2 linked regions of the Stegostoma tigrinum genome follow. The protein of the gene in region 2 interacts with the protein of the main gene of each other region in a pairwise test. Links are inferred from orthologs where the notes say so. Each region holds a gene or a part of one and is shown on either strand. Other genes may lie near its edges.

What was found. The genes of interacting proteins can lie anywhere in the genome.
Region 1: the proteins of gcc1 (region 2) and atf4a interact in binary tests that used the Homo sapiens proteins (3 or more experiments, as listed by UniProt). The two-hybrid records come from large-scale screens. The link is inferred for Stegostoma tigrinum from reciprocal best matches to the Homo sapiens genes GCC1 and ATF4.

What each region holds. Positions count from the first base shown.
Region 1 is NC_081391.1:9,242,764-9,249,858, forward strand, and holds atf4a (cyclic AMP-dependent transcription factor ATF-4), read left to right. Parts: upstream 1-4,075; 5' UTR 4,076-4,250; intron 4,251-5,271; 5' UTR 5,272-5,378; coding exon 5,379-5,613; intron 5,614-6,169; coding exon 6,170-6,987; 3' UTR 6,988-7,045; downstream 7,046-7,095. UniProt on the Homo sapiens protein: Transcription factor that binds the cAMP response element (CRE) (consensus: 5'-GTGACGT[AC][AG]-3') and displays two biological functions, as regulator of metabolic and redox processes under normal cellular conditions, and as master transcription factor during integrated stress response (ISR).
Region 2 is NC_081378.1:21,994,237-22,001,689, forward strand, and holds the start of gcc1 (GRIP and coiled-coil domain-containing protein 1), read left to right. Parts: upstream 1-4,427; 5' UTR 4,428-4,570; exon of another isoform or gene 4,571-5,122; intron 5,123-7,453. Other genes in the region: uncharacterized protein LOC125463107, read right to left, coding at 3,915-3,981. UniProt on the Homo sapiens protein: Probably involved in maintaining Golgi structure.

The DNA of each region.
Region 1 (7,095 bases), on a different chromosome or scaffold from region 2:
ACTCTACACCAAATGGACTGCAATGGTTCCCGCAATGTGGTGACAAGAACTGTGTGTGGTTTTCCAGCAATGTTTTATCCAGTTCTCACATTATCTCTCAGCTCTTAGAATCTGTGCCTGATTGAATAAAGGGAGCCATCCTCAAATGTCTTTTTCACCGCCTTCAGTAATCAGTGGTCATTAAGTCTAAGGCCTGATATGTCCCTTTGTACTAAGTGTGTGAACTAGAAGATTTGGAAATAACTTTTCTTTGCCATTTTCTTAGCTGTCAGAAAATCAAACTCTCTTCAAATCAATGGATTCAACTCAATGGCAGCATTTTAAATTTTATTTGTGGCCAGATACACATCTACGTGATCTACAGCGACAAAAAAAATTGTTCCTCTCAGTCGTCCAGGATACTCTGCCAGTGCCACAGATGAATTTGCAAACTTGAAAGCGTAGCCCATTAAATCTGCCTTCTTTCCGTCCTGCTGCGTTTTTCTTTGGAGGCACAGAGTCAGAAAGAAAGGCTGTCATTAAATCCTGCCTTCCAGGATGTCACTGTGCTGCTTAGTAACTAATTAAGTACTTTTGAAATGTAGCCAATATTGTGATGTATTAAGCAACACAAGGGTAGAATCCCTATTACTGAGCCAGTTATTCTACGGTTAAGTGCCACATTCCTTAAGAGGTGTTTCAGAACATGCCAAAATAGGTTTCTAAAAGAAAACATCTCCCTCTAAGTGGGCTTGACAGGATAGAAGTGGAGATATTGTTTCCCCCTTGTGGGAAAGGCTGAGACCAGAGGGCCTAATCTTAGAATGAGGAGCCACCTATTTAAGACAGAGAGGAGGAGGAATTTCATCTCTATGGAATTCTCTACCATCAAGGGCTGTTGAGGTTCGGTTGTCAAGTTCATTCAAGGCTGAGATAGATTTTTAACCAGTAAGAGAATTGAGATTTTGGGGGAAAAGGCTGGAAAGTGGCATTGAGGATTATCAGATCAGCCATGATCTGATTGAATAGGTAACCAAATGGTCTAACTCTGCTCCTACGTCTTCATGGTCTTATTTCACACCGGTAGTTTCTGTTCCTCAAAGCCAGAAGATTTGCACTCAAGTTTGTCCTGGCATCATTACATGTCCCAACAGTTTGATTAAGAAAGTCCTTCCCTTAGCCACACCAGTCTGATCTTGAAGGCTATAATCAGGCCTAGTGTTCCTTTGAAGGGGAAAATGCTTGGGAATAGCACTTGTAGTAAAAGGGAGATTTGTAGTACAGTAGTGTTGTCCCTACGTGGAAGGTCTGGGTCCAAGTCCCACCTTTCCCAGAGGTGGGTCAGAACAAGTTGGTTATAAATGAAAGAATAAAGTGACAGCCATTTTAATGATGTTAGTTGGAGGATGTTAGTTGGAGGATAAGTAATGGCCAGGGGTCTGGGGAAAAGTGGGCTAATTTATGCCTACCTGAGGGGGAAGGCAGGAGTCTTGGTTTAATAGCTCATCCCCTGAAAAACAGCTTCTCGAACACAGCCGCATTCCCTCAGGGGGAATGCCAGACGCAAGTTGATGAAGCGTCACCGAACTTGAAACATTAACTCTGCTTTCTCCCCACCGATGTTGCCAGACCTGTTAAGTTTCTACAGCAATTTCTGTTTTTGTTTCAGAACTCCAGGATCCACAGCTCTTAGTTCTATTTTAACCCATATCACATACATGTTCTGAATATTTATATGACTATTTAAAGTTAGAATTCAAATGAAAGGGAAGTTTTATACTCTACAGATTATCATTACGATTCATGTTTTGGATTGGGGCTTGAAGCACTTGGTAATTAGATCTAGATTTCTTTAATCCTCTTGATGCACCATTGTCGTCACTTTCAGTCATACTAATTATTTTGCCTGCCACATACCAAGTAAATAACACAGTGCAGAAGCCCAGATGCTGTTAATGGAAATATTTAACTGCTCTTTAAATGGGGTTTAATCATCATAGAACAGCTTCCATGGAAACGAAACGTGGACATGCTTCACAGAATAACATGCTGCTTGCCAAGTCACGGAGAAAGTTGAGAGGTTTAAGCATCGATCCAGCAGATTGTCAGCACACTCACAAATGCCACATGTACAGAAATGCACTAGTGTGCACGTGAGGAATAAATTCACAGCTTGAAGGCAGATTTAATAATGGTGGGGTCTACTGTCGATGTTTTGGTTGAAGTATTAAATTCAAGCCCCCATTTGCCCATTCTGGTTTGTCAGGTAATGGCTACACAGGTTAATGTGGCATTATTATAAATACAGCAGGACACGCAGGATTTTCTTACACATAAATGATGGTTTTCACTGCAATTCAAGTTTGAGAGTCAAATCAGCGCAATGTTGTCTGAAAGATTTTTTTTCCTAAGAGTGCAGCTACAGATACAGAATTAAATCTTTAATCTCAACAGACCTGATGAAGATTATCCACCATTTTAATTATCCTTGCAGCTAATGTGCCTGACCTGATTTCCATCAATTACTTAACAATGCTGAAACTTCCCTTATAGTAAATGAATTCATGTTTTCATCATGAGTTCTAATTCTCTTACAAAGTGACTACAAAGACAGTACATCAAACATTAAAACACAGATGAAATGGCCTGCTCCCAACTGGTTGACGTTCACACAAACCTCCTCTCATCTGACTTTAACTGACTGTATCAGGATAACCTTCATCTCCTACCCAGAGATAGGAAGGCAGCAGAAATAAATTAAACACATGGAAAATTTGAGGTATCAATAAACTGGGAATCAAAGCATAGCAATGCAAGTATGAGTGAGTGGGACTTAGCGAAAGTTTGAGTTGCTTAGCTTTGGAAGTGGCGGGGGGGGGGGGGGGGGGGGGGCGGGGGAAGAGGGGTAGACACCTATTTGAAAAACACAGCAGCCAATGCGCACACAACAAGATCCCAGAAACAGCAACGTGGTTGTTACATTGAAACTACAACATTCAAGTAGGCCTTGTGGCTTTTAATAGATCCATGCAGAGTTTAAGCACAACGTGAGCCTCCGCCCACCACTTATCATGCTCTTGCAACATATCCTTGGGCTTCTTTCTATCTTGTATACGTAGTTAGCTTTCTTATAAAGTAAATGTACATTGTCCATCTCAACTTGTGGCAGCAAGGATGGAGGGGGGCAGCAGTGGTGCAGGCTCAATGGCTGAATGGCCTACTTTGCTCTGACATCTTACGGTAGAAGGCATCTGGATAGGTACGTGAATAGGAAGGGTTTATGAGGAATATGGACCAAATGCTGGCAAGTGGGACTAGATTTATTTAGGATATCTGGTCAGCATAGACAAGTTGGACCAAAAAGAATGTATGCTGTACAGCTCTATGACACCAATAACCCTTGATTATCAGACTGACAGAGCCAAGTAGCCCATTCATAACCTATATTTCCGAGGTAGAATTACAGAGGGTACAAAGTAAAAGCCATTCAGCCCATTGTGGCTGTGCTAGCCCTCGGAGTTACCCAGCTAGTTCCTCTTCCACAGTGCAAATATTTGCGCCGTTCAAATCCTCATTCCCTGCCTTTCGAAGTTTTAATCTGTACCTTATGGTTCACTTATGATTTATGGCAGCATCTCCATTAAAAAGTAACAACACCCACCATGATACCAACTTCCCCCTCCTCCCCAACAATTAACCCACGTGGTTTGGTTCGGGGCGTGCCATTGACCGCCGCTCTGCCAATCAGCATCATCCCATCACGTGAACGGACCAACCAGAAAGCGCCTCCCGAACAGCCGAGCGCGTGATCGCAAGTAGGACCGGCCACCGTCCTCGCTTCTCACAAGCCCCGTTTCTGCTTTTCCAAAAAAAATAGACAACCCACCGCAAAAAATAAATACAATGCCCTCTGCTCGACGCCATAAGTCGAGACTAAAGAAAAATCAGCCGCAAACGCCGATGATTTAAAGCTCATTTCTTCCCGCTAGCCTGCGAGCGGAATGGGGTCTATTTTGTGATGACGTCACGTGGGCGGAGGGAGCAGAGGCATTAGGGGAGAGGTGAGGCCGAGGCTATTTAAATGCCTGCTGCAGGCTCGCTGCCGTATTCCGCGGCTCGCAGATGATTAAACGGAGGAAGTTTCGCACTCTTTCTCCGAGTCCGATCCGCCCGGGGTTCGGCATGGCGGCTCAATAGACAGGCAGCAGCGGCAGCGACGCATCAGTGCAGTGCACTGGGCAACAACAGCACGCACCAGCTTCAAAAATGGCGTAAGTCATCCTTTTTCACGCCCTCGCCGAATAAAATAAAACCCCGGAAGATCCCGCCTTTTTAATACATGGGGTCCCGCCATTTTATCCTCTTCTGCCTCGTGGCCCGAAGAGGCCTCAGTGGGCGTTGGGGATTTCAATGAAATCGGTTACACCGGAACAGTTCGTGAACAAACGCGATACAATCCGCCTAAAATGTAAACACCCGATCGTGTTTTGTGTTATTTTCCGGACATTAATCGGAAGGGCCGGTTTCCTTCCCCCACCACCAAAACCAGAGCTCAATACATTAATAACGCGACATATTTTCCTTAATCGTATGCCCCCGGTTTTGAAGTGCTTCATTTTTGAAATCTTTGGTGGTTGGCAAAGATGTCTCTGGGCATGTTTTGGGTTGATCAGTCGATGTGCTAAGGCACTTCCATCTTTGGAATAGTTAACCCTCCTGGCGCTATATTTCTCTCTATTCCCTTCTTTAATAAATGTTATGTCTCTTGGGGCTGGGTTAGGTGAGATGTTCAGGTATCCTCACTGGCGCCAGCGGGTTGTTTGTGACTGGGTGAAGATGGTGGCTTGTCTTCATGCTTAAACGTGGCAGAGTCACGAAGGAGACACCCAGTTGCTCTTGTCCTTCCGCCATCTGTTCCAGGGTGTGGTTTGAAGATCCTAGTTAACTCTTTAGTGGGACACCCAGTGCCTTATCTACATTTCTCCCACCAGGCTTTCAAATTGCGCATCTGCCCCTTTTTAAGCTCTCCTACAGTTTTCTTTACTATTCAGTAGTAATTTGATGTGTCAGCACTTAAAATTCCGTACTTGTGCCTGCTGGCAATTCGTCTGTTGAGTCTCAATCTTCCTTCCGCTTCCCCAATATGCTCTGGGCAATCATTTGGGTTGTCTGAAATTGAATTCAAATGTCTTGTGTTGACGTGCAAGTTTTTTTGTTGTGCAGTTTTTCTTGAATGCTGCTATGCCAGAGTTAAATGCATGGAAAATGAATGATATCCTGTTTTATTCCCAGGCTCCACAATGGGCTTCTCAGCTTTGCTGTAGTCGACAGCATAGTAACACTCGACTTGAAGACTTTGTTTTTCCTTGAAGAGTATCTCAGTTCAAAAATACAGTCAGATGACTTCAGATTGGCCAGATTCTTTCTCTTCCCTGATGGAGGACTTCATGATGTCCCCGAGTTCGCCGTTTCTGACGGCTGAAGGGGACCCGTGTCTCCTGCACACAGACCTGGCGGAGGCCGGGCCGGTGAAATCGTACCTCAGACCACTCCTGTTTGATGGCAATGAGGAAAGCGATGTGTCCTCCCTGATCACGTGTGTTGACAAGTTACTGGACACCGATGATACTGTGGGTAAGTTAAGAACAATCGATTGTGATGCTTGAGTAGCAGCTGATTGTAGTGGGTGGTTGACTCACTTTTGAATTAGTTGACAAACCAATGTAGGTGATGCACTTCAATTACACATTAATGCTCGGTAGCCAGTATTAAAAGTTGAAAACATCTCTGAACATCTGTAAGGCTCCACTTTCAGCTCTGCTGTTTCAGCACCTGATGACAACACAGCCTGTGCTTTGTCATACATTATCTCGTAATGTGGAGCTGAACTTTTTTAGGTAATTTCCTAAATAAAAATTGAAAGTACTGTGGATGCTGTAAATCGGAGACAAAGACAAGTTGCTGGAAAAGCTCAGCAAGTCTGGCCGCATCTGTGAAGAAAAAAAAGTTAATGTTACTGGTCTGGTGACCCTTCTTCAGCAACTTCTGTGTTTCTTCTTGGGTAACTTCCTGTTTAGTTCTGTTTGTATTGAGACTCTCGGTCCTGTCGTTTTTGCTGTCCTGTGTTCTGTAGTGGATTTTTTATGTGAATAATGTTGACTTAATCTTCCCCCTCCCCTTGTTTTTACAGAGGATGCGTTCACCGGCTTCGACTGGATGGAGAAGACTGATCTCTTTGACAATTTGTTCATGGGTGAAAATGGCTCTCCCTCCTCAGAGGAGCTGTTGGCTGTCTTGGACAGTTCCTGTGTTCTGGAAGAATTGCCTTTTGATCCTTTGCCAGCTAAACTACAAGTAGCTGACCTTGGTTTGAGTTCTGATCACAGGCCATTTCCAAATTCACCCCCTGGGTCAGATCAGCTGGCTCCTAGTACCCCAACCATTACCCCAGAATCTTTAATCCCAACCCCTGATCACTTGTTACACTTCCTGGAGAATGAGACTGGAGTTTCATGTGAGGAATTTCCTCCGCCCCTGCAGGACTCTGTCAAAGAGGAGGATGACAGGCTAATGCGGGATTCTGACAGTGGAGTTGGGACTAGTCCCCCACACTCTCCTGCTGAATCATCTGACAAAAATATGTCAGAAGGGTCACCACAAACTAGTGGCTTGTCATCAGATGACTCAAGTCCTATTAGGCCAAAACCATATGATCGTCCCAGTACAGAAAATGTAGGCAATTTGTCAAAAGTAAAAGTTAGTGTGGAGTCAAGAGGTCTGGAGAAAAAGTTGAAGAAGATGGAGCAGAACAAAAGTGCAGCGACACGGTACAGGCAAAAGAAGAGAGCAGAGCATGGTGCCATACTTGCAGAATGTAGCTTACTGGAAGAGAAAAATAAAACCTTGCAAGAGAAAGCTGACTCATTAACAAAAGAAATTCAATATTTAAAAGACTTGATTGAAGAAGTTAGGAAAGCCAAAAGTAGTAGAACTGCAAAAAGCTTGTAATATAGCATTAGCTATTGTAGATTTGTAAATGTAATTTTTAATAAAATCATAAAGTAAATGTCTTGTTTGTACTTGTCTTCTCAGGACAGCATTTGGCTGCATTATTTT
Region 2 (7,453 bases):
AAAAGTTGGATCTAGGCTACCTACTTAAAGTATTTTGAAGTGGTCTGCGTCTCATCCATAACAAGAAATGTTTGAAAGTATCAGGGCAGGCTAAACAGCAATCAATAAACTACACTGCATTCTGAGTTTCATAAATGTGGCAGAGTAACACACACAAACACAGCCTAAGTGGAGTACTGTGCAAAAGTTTGGGCACTATCCTTTAAGAAAGACTTGAAGCTTTGGAGATGATATAGGAGGGATTACTGGAGCAATTTCAGAAATGAGAAATTATAGTTGTGTGGACAGGCTAGAAAAGTTGAGTTGGTTATCGTTGGTCAAAGGCTAAAGCAATTTTTAAATTATTATTCACAAAATAAGGGCACCACTGAACTACATCAGCATTTAATGCCCATCCCTAATTGCCCAGAAGGCAGTTAAGAGTCAACCACATTGCTCTGGGTCTGGAATCACCTGCAGACCAGACCAGGTAAGGATGGCAGTTTCCTTCCCTAAAGGACATTGCTAAACCAAACAGCTGTTAAAATCATGGCGAGTTCTCAGCTCAAATCAGAAATTGTACCCACTAGAAAACTAAATAATCAGAAGATACTGATTTAACATGATTGTTCAAATAATCAAATTACATAAGGATAAACTTTTCTCTACACAATGATGAGTAGGACATAGAATGCACCACCTGATAGGAACAAGGAACAAAGAACAAAGAGCAAAGAAAATTATAGCACAGGAACAAACCCTTCAGCCCTCCAAGCCTGCACTGATCCAGATCCTCTATCTAAACCTGTTGCCTATTTTTCAAGGATCTGTATCCCTCTGCTCCCTGCCCATTCATGTGTCTATCCAGATACATCTTAAAATGATGCTATCATGCCCACCTCTACCACGTCCACTGGCAACACGTTCCAGGCACCCACAACTCTCTGCGTAAAGAAATTTCCACGCATATCTCCCTTAAACCTTTCCGCTCTCACCTTGAAATTGTGACCCCTGGTAATTGAGTTCCCCCATTCTGGGAAAAAGCTTCTTGCTAGCCACTCTGCCTATACCTCTCGTGATTTTGTAGACTTCAGTCAGGTCCTCCCTCAACCTCATCTTTCTAATGTAAATAATCCTAATCTACTCAACCTCTCTTCATAGCTAGCGCCCTCCATACCAGGCAACATCCTGGTGAACCTCCTCCACACCCTCTCCAAAGCATCCACATCCTTTTGGTAATGTGGCAACCAGAACTGTACGCAGTATTCCAAATGTGGTTGAACCAAGGTCCTATACAACTGCAACATGACCTGCCAACTCTTGTACTCAATAGACCTGAACATCCAGATCTCTCAGTGTAATTTTCCTCAGGGCTTTTCCATTTACCGTACAGTTCGCTCTTGAATGGGATTTTCCAAAATGCATCACCTTGCATTTTCCTGGATTGAACTCCACCTGCCATTTCTCTACCCAACTCTCCAATCTATCTATATTCTGCTGCACTCTCCGACAGTCCCCTTCACTATCTGCTCCTCCACCAATCTTAGTGTCATCTGCAAATTTGCTAATCAGACCATCCAAACCTTCCTCCAGATCATTTACATATGTCACAAACAACAGTGGTCCGAATACGGGTACCTGTGGAACATCACTGGTCACAATTCTCCATTTTGAGAAACTCCCTTCCACTACAACTCTCTGTCTCCTTTGCCCAGCCAGTTCTCTATCCATCTAGTTAGTACACCCCGGACCCCATGCAACTTCACTTTCTCCATCAGCCTACCGTTGGTTACCTTATCAAACACCTTACTGAAGTTCATGTATATGGCATCTACAGCCGTTCCCTCATCTATCAACTTTGTCACTTCCTCAAAGAATTCTATCAAGTTGGTAAGACATGATGGACTTAACAGTAACTTTAATTAGAAAGGTTTCAGGAATGCGAACAGATGAAATGAGTCTTTGTATTGGAGATACAATATAACAGAGAAGATTGAAGTTAACAACTTTAAGGAAAAACATGAGCAAATTAATGCAGCTGTCAAGCTGACTCAGGAATGCAGAATGTAGGTACAAGTCTTTGATAGAGGTATGGCAAGTTTTGTACGCTGATGGAAATGCACAGGGGATCATTGCATTCAGAAATAGGACAAAAGCAAGGAAGCTACGGAAATGTTTTGGAAAAAACTAGCTGTGCTTGGTTGGTGTATTGTATCCAATTACAAATACTGCGAGAAGGTGCAGGAGGAATGCAGTCAAATCATAGCTGGAACGAGGGGTTTTGATTACATATAAACATCGAGAAATTAACTTGTTCTCTCTTGACCAGAAAATGGGAGGTTCAGCAAAGGGATTAAAATATTATGAATTATTTTTATAATTAATAGGATAAAACTGTTTCAGTGGCCAAAAGGCTGATTTGAGAATAGATTTAAGGCAACTGTGAAAAGAATCCACTGCAACAGGAGGTGACAGCCTTCCTTCATGATCTGGAATGCACTGCAGCATTTTAAACAGTAATTTGAAAACTGGATTTAAAAAATCCTTTTAATCAATCAGCCATCGTAAACTCACAGCGATTAGTACAGCTGCCTCATAGTGCCATGGACTTGGGCTTGATTCCAGACTTGGGCAAATGTCTGTGTGGAGTTTGCACTTCTCCTTCTGTCTGCGTGGGTTTCTGCTAAATGATCCAGTTTCCTCCCACAGTCCAAAGATGTGCAGATTTGGTGCACTGGCCGTGTTAAATTACCCTATAGTTTTCAGGGATGTGTGGGGTCAGTGCAGACTCATAATGGGCTGAATGGTCTCTATCTGCACTGCTGGGCTTCTATGGCAATGCTCAAATGGCTTTTACTGTAAATGAATGAGAAACAGCATGGGCAAACCAGAAGGTGATGGCAAGTTATGATTCAGGACATGAACTCCCCAGACATTTCACAGAAACTGTTCTTAGGGCTGATGAGAAACAATAATCTAAAACCAACAATATTAGAGGTTAAATCCAACACTAGGATTACATATACCAAAAAAACATTAAAACCAAATAAGTATTTATAGAGATAAAGACAGATCACAAACTAAACATTCAACAGCACCCTCCCAGTATGAAATTTCTTACAAGCCTCAGTATTATCATTCACTCATTTCCTTCAAACTCATTACAAACGCAACAGGATTATACGTACCAGTCTCATATTGTGAAACCTGAAAGGGTTCAGAAAAGCTTTACAAGAATGTTGGAGATAGAAAGGACTGCAGATGCTCAAAGCTAGAGTTTAAAAACAAGTTGGAAAAGCACAGCAGCTCAGACAGCATCTAAGGAGCAGAAAAGTCACCTTTTTGAGTCAGAATCCTTTTTCAAGTCCTGCTGCACTTTTCCAGCTTCTTTTTTTTTTGATCCTTTACAAGGAAGTTACCAAGATTGGAGGATTTGAACTATACAAAGACACTAAACAGGCTGGGGCTATTTTCCCTGGAGAGTCAGAGGCTGAGAGGTGACCTTATCAAGGTTTATAAGATTATATGGGGCAGAAACAGGGTGAATAGCCATGGTCTTTTTGCCAGGGGTAGGGAATCCAAAACTAGAGGGCAGAGGTTAAAAGTGAGAGGGGAAAGATTTTACAAGGGACCTAAGGGGAACTTTTCTATGCAGAGGGTGGTGCGTGTATGGAATGAACTGCCAGAGGAAGTAGTGGCGGCTGGCACTATTACAACATTTAAAAGGTATCTGGATTGATATATGAATAGGAAGGGTGTAGAAGGATATGGCCAAATGCTGACAAATGAGACTAGGTTAATTTAGGATATCGGGTCGGCATGAACAAGTTGGACCGAAGGGTCTGTTGCCATGCTGTACAGCTCTGTGACTCTAATTGAGCTACAGCCGGTTATCCGACAGTCCTTGGCTTGAACCACGATTACAGGGCACTTACCCATCAGGATTCTCATCTGCTTCCTCGAAAAGAGCCGGTCAAACACTTTCGACAGGGTGATCCCCATGGTTCCAGGAGAGGAGCGGGTGGGCCCAGAATCGAAGTTCGGCGTCTGGGTCAAGGCACGGCAATTCGAGGCCTCAGAGGTCAGCGCCCTGCGTTTCCGGGTACGGGCCCGGGGGTTTGATGGCTGGTGTCGCGGATCAGGAGCTGGTGCTCAGGATCTGCCGGTCCGAAGTCTGGCTTTAGCGCTAACGACTCAGGTACAGAGTCTGGCTCTGACAATGCCACAGGCTGGGCTTGATGGCTCCACTCTGGCAGTTCCTGGCTGGGAGCTCGCGGCGACTAGTAGTTTCTAACGGAAGCGGCAGCAGGAAGTGCCTGCGTGATGACGTTCTAAACAATTTCCGGCCAACGCGGAGGGAATGATGTCAACAGCCCGGTGTGATGTAAACCCATGACCGTCCCTTTGGGCTGTTCGACCAATCAGTGGCTGCTAGTGTATATGACATCACTGAGCTGACCCCTCACCCTGAGCAGGGTGACCTTCTCAAGATGGCGTCTTTCCTGTTCCATTGGCGACGTCAGCAAAGGCTTTCAGGCCTCAACGGCTTGGTCTCGGATTGAAGGCGACAGTCAGCCCGGAGAGGAGGCAGGTCTGGGTGAGAAATCGCTTTAAGGCCGACACGAAGACGTTTTACTTGGGAGAGAGGGTAACGGATTGGAGTGCGGTGTTAGGTTGGAGGGTACTGGTTGACTCTGGGTCCGCTGCTCTCGGTGAGTGAGGCTCTGGTTCCATTGAGGCCCCGTCAGGCGCGGTGAAAGATCTCAGGAGTATTCCCGTTAAATGCAGCTGATTCCTCCGCCCCAGCCCTGGACAATATTCTTATTTATCTTTCAGACAGCACCATTTCCTTGGGCCTTATTAAGCCTCTAATCTGAACTTTATGAATTATTGTTATGGGGACTTTGTTAAACAGAAATTGTTCCCTACAGCAATAAATAGACCTCGAAAAGTACTTCATTATCTCCAGAGCACTTCGAGAAATTCTGAGTTCATGAAAGGCCTCGGAAATAAGTGACTTATCTTTTGAAGATAGTCAGAATTTGTGTTTCGTTATACAGCGCATTTCGTAACATTCCAAAGCGCTTTACAAAAATTAAAGTGCATGATAACAACGTGGAAAGCACCAGCAAAATTGCATACAGTAAGTTCCAGGATTTTTCTGTTTGTTAACTAAATGTACGTCTGTATGAGTATGTTGTTCATAATCTTGTGTAATAGTCACTGTATCAAATGCTTCCTGAAAATCCCGTATCAGGTTTCCACTGATAAATCCTGCAGAGTTTCAGTCTCTGAAACTGTACTTCGTAGGTCTGTTCAAAATTGTACAGTCAGCTGACTTACTATGACTCAACCAAAAGCCAGATTCACTGCAGCTAGTTTGTAAATAGAGCCACAGAGTTGTACAGCATGGAAACAGACGCTTCAGTCTAACTTGTCTATGCTGACTGTATATCCTAAATTAAGCCAGTCCAATTTGCCAGAATATGGCCCATATTCCTGTAGACTCTTCCCCTCTTCATATACCCATTCAGGTGCCGTTTTAAATGTTGTAATTGTAATGGCCTCCTGCACCTCCTGTGGCAGCTATTACCATATGTGCACCACCTGTGTAAAAAAAGTTGCCCCCTTAGGTCTGTTTGAAATCCTTCCACTGTCACCTTAAACGTATGCCCTGTAGTTTTGGACTCCCCTACTGTTATGGGGAGAGGAGGATGCCTTGGCTATTCTGTCCGTGCTGCTCATGATTTCATAAACCTCTATAAGTTCACCCCTAAGCCTCCGATGCTCGAGGGAAAATAGGCCCAGCCTGTTCAGTCTCTCCCTGTGGTGCAAACCCTCCTACCCCTGCAACATCCATACAAACCTTTTCTGCACCTTTTCATGTTTAATAACATCTTTCCTATAGTGGGGAGACCAGAATTGAATGCAGTATTAAAGTGGTACAACCAATGTCCTGTACAGCTGTATCCCACCTCTCATACTCAATGGACTGACTAACAAAGGCAAGTGTACCAAAGGCCACTACCCTGTCTACCTGTGACTCCACCTTCGAGGATCTACGACCCTGCATCCCAAGGTCTCTTTGGTTGAGCAGCACTTCCCAGCACCCTACAAAGGTGCATAAGTCCAGCCCTAATTTGCCTTACTAAAATGCAACACCTCACATTCACCTAAATTCAACTTCATCTGCCTCTCCTCGGCCCACCTCATCAAGGTCCCGTTGTACTCTGAGATAACCTTTTTTTTATTGTCCGTTATACCATCAGTGCAGATGTTATTTCTATCTTATTGACTTGAATGAGGAAAACTTGTGGATGACAGAAAAATACGTTGGAAAACAAGTGGAAAAAATGACCCAGAGTCATGATATGAGATTGAGATTATATGTGATATTCTACCCTTTGGCAAGGACAGTAGAGGACCAGAGTATCATTTTAAATAGAAAAAGACTGCAGAAGGACTACACAGGGATTTGGGAGTTCTTATCCAAGAATCATAAAAAGCTAGCATTCAAATTCAGTGTGTAAGTGTGAAGGTAAATAGAATGTCAACCTTTATTTCAAAGAGAATGCAGTAAACCTTCTCCACTGGTCAGGCCACAGATGGATTAATGTAAACAGTTTTGGACCCCTCACCTAAGGAAAGATATACTGGCATTGCAGGTAGTCCAGGGAAAGTTCACTAGGCTGATGTCAGATGTGGAGGGACTGTTTTATGGGGAGAGGTTGGGCCTGTATTCATTTGAATTTTGATGAATGGTAGGAGACTTTATTACAATATACAAGATTCTTAGAGGATTTGATATGGAAAGGATGTTCTCCTTATAGTAGAGGATAGGACCAGAGAACATTATTTCAGAATAAGAGGTCACAGAGATAAGGACGAATTTCTTGACTAATGGTTTAGAAAGGCATATGCAAATTTGATGATACAAAGTTAGGTGACATTGTACACAGTATAGATGTTAGGTGAAAATTATTTGCTCTAGAAACTAATGAAACATATCTTGAAGTATTTTTTTCCTTTATTCATTCACGGGATGAGGGCATTGCAGGCTAGACAGTATTTATTGCAATTCCTGATTGCCCAGAGTCAACCAGATTGCTGTGAGTCTGGAGTCACATGTAGACCAGACCAGGTAAGGACGACAATTTCCTTCCCTAAAGGACAACCAGATGGGTTTTTCCTGACAATTGGCAATGGATTCTTGGCCATCATTAGACTGTTAATTCCAGATATTTATTGAATTCAAATTCCACCATCTGCTGTGGCAGGATTCGAACCTGAGTCCCAGAACCTTATCGGGGTCTCTGGATTAACAGTCCAGCGATAATACCACTAGGCCATTGCCTGCCCCAGCATATACTGCAGGCAACACCATTTCAAGGCCAGGCTCCAGTTCTTGAAATCAGACTATTCATAGGAACTGAAATAAATGTCTAATTTTGCACCATCTGGATTACATTAGTCT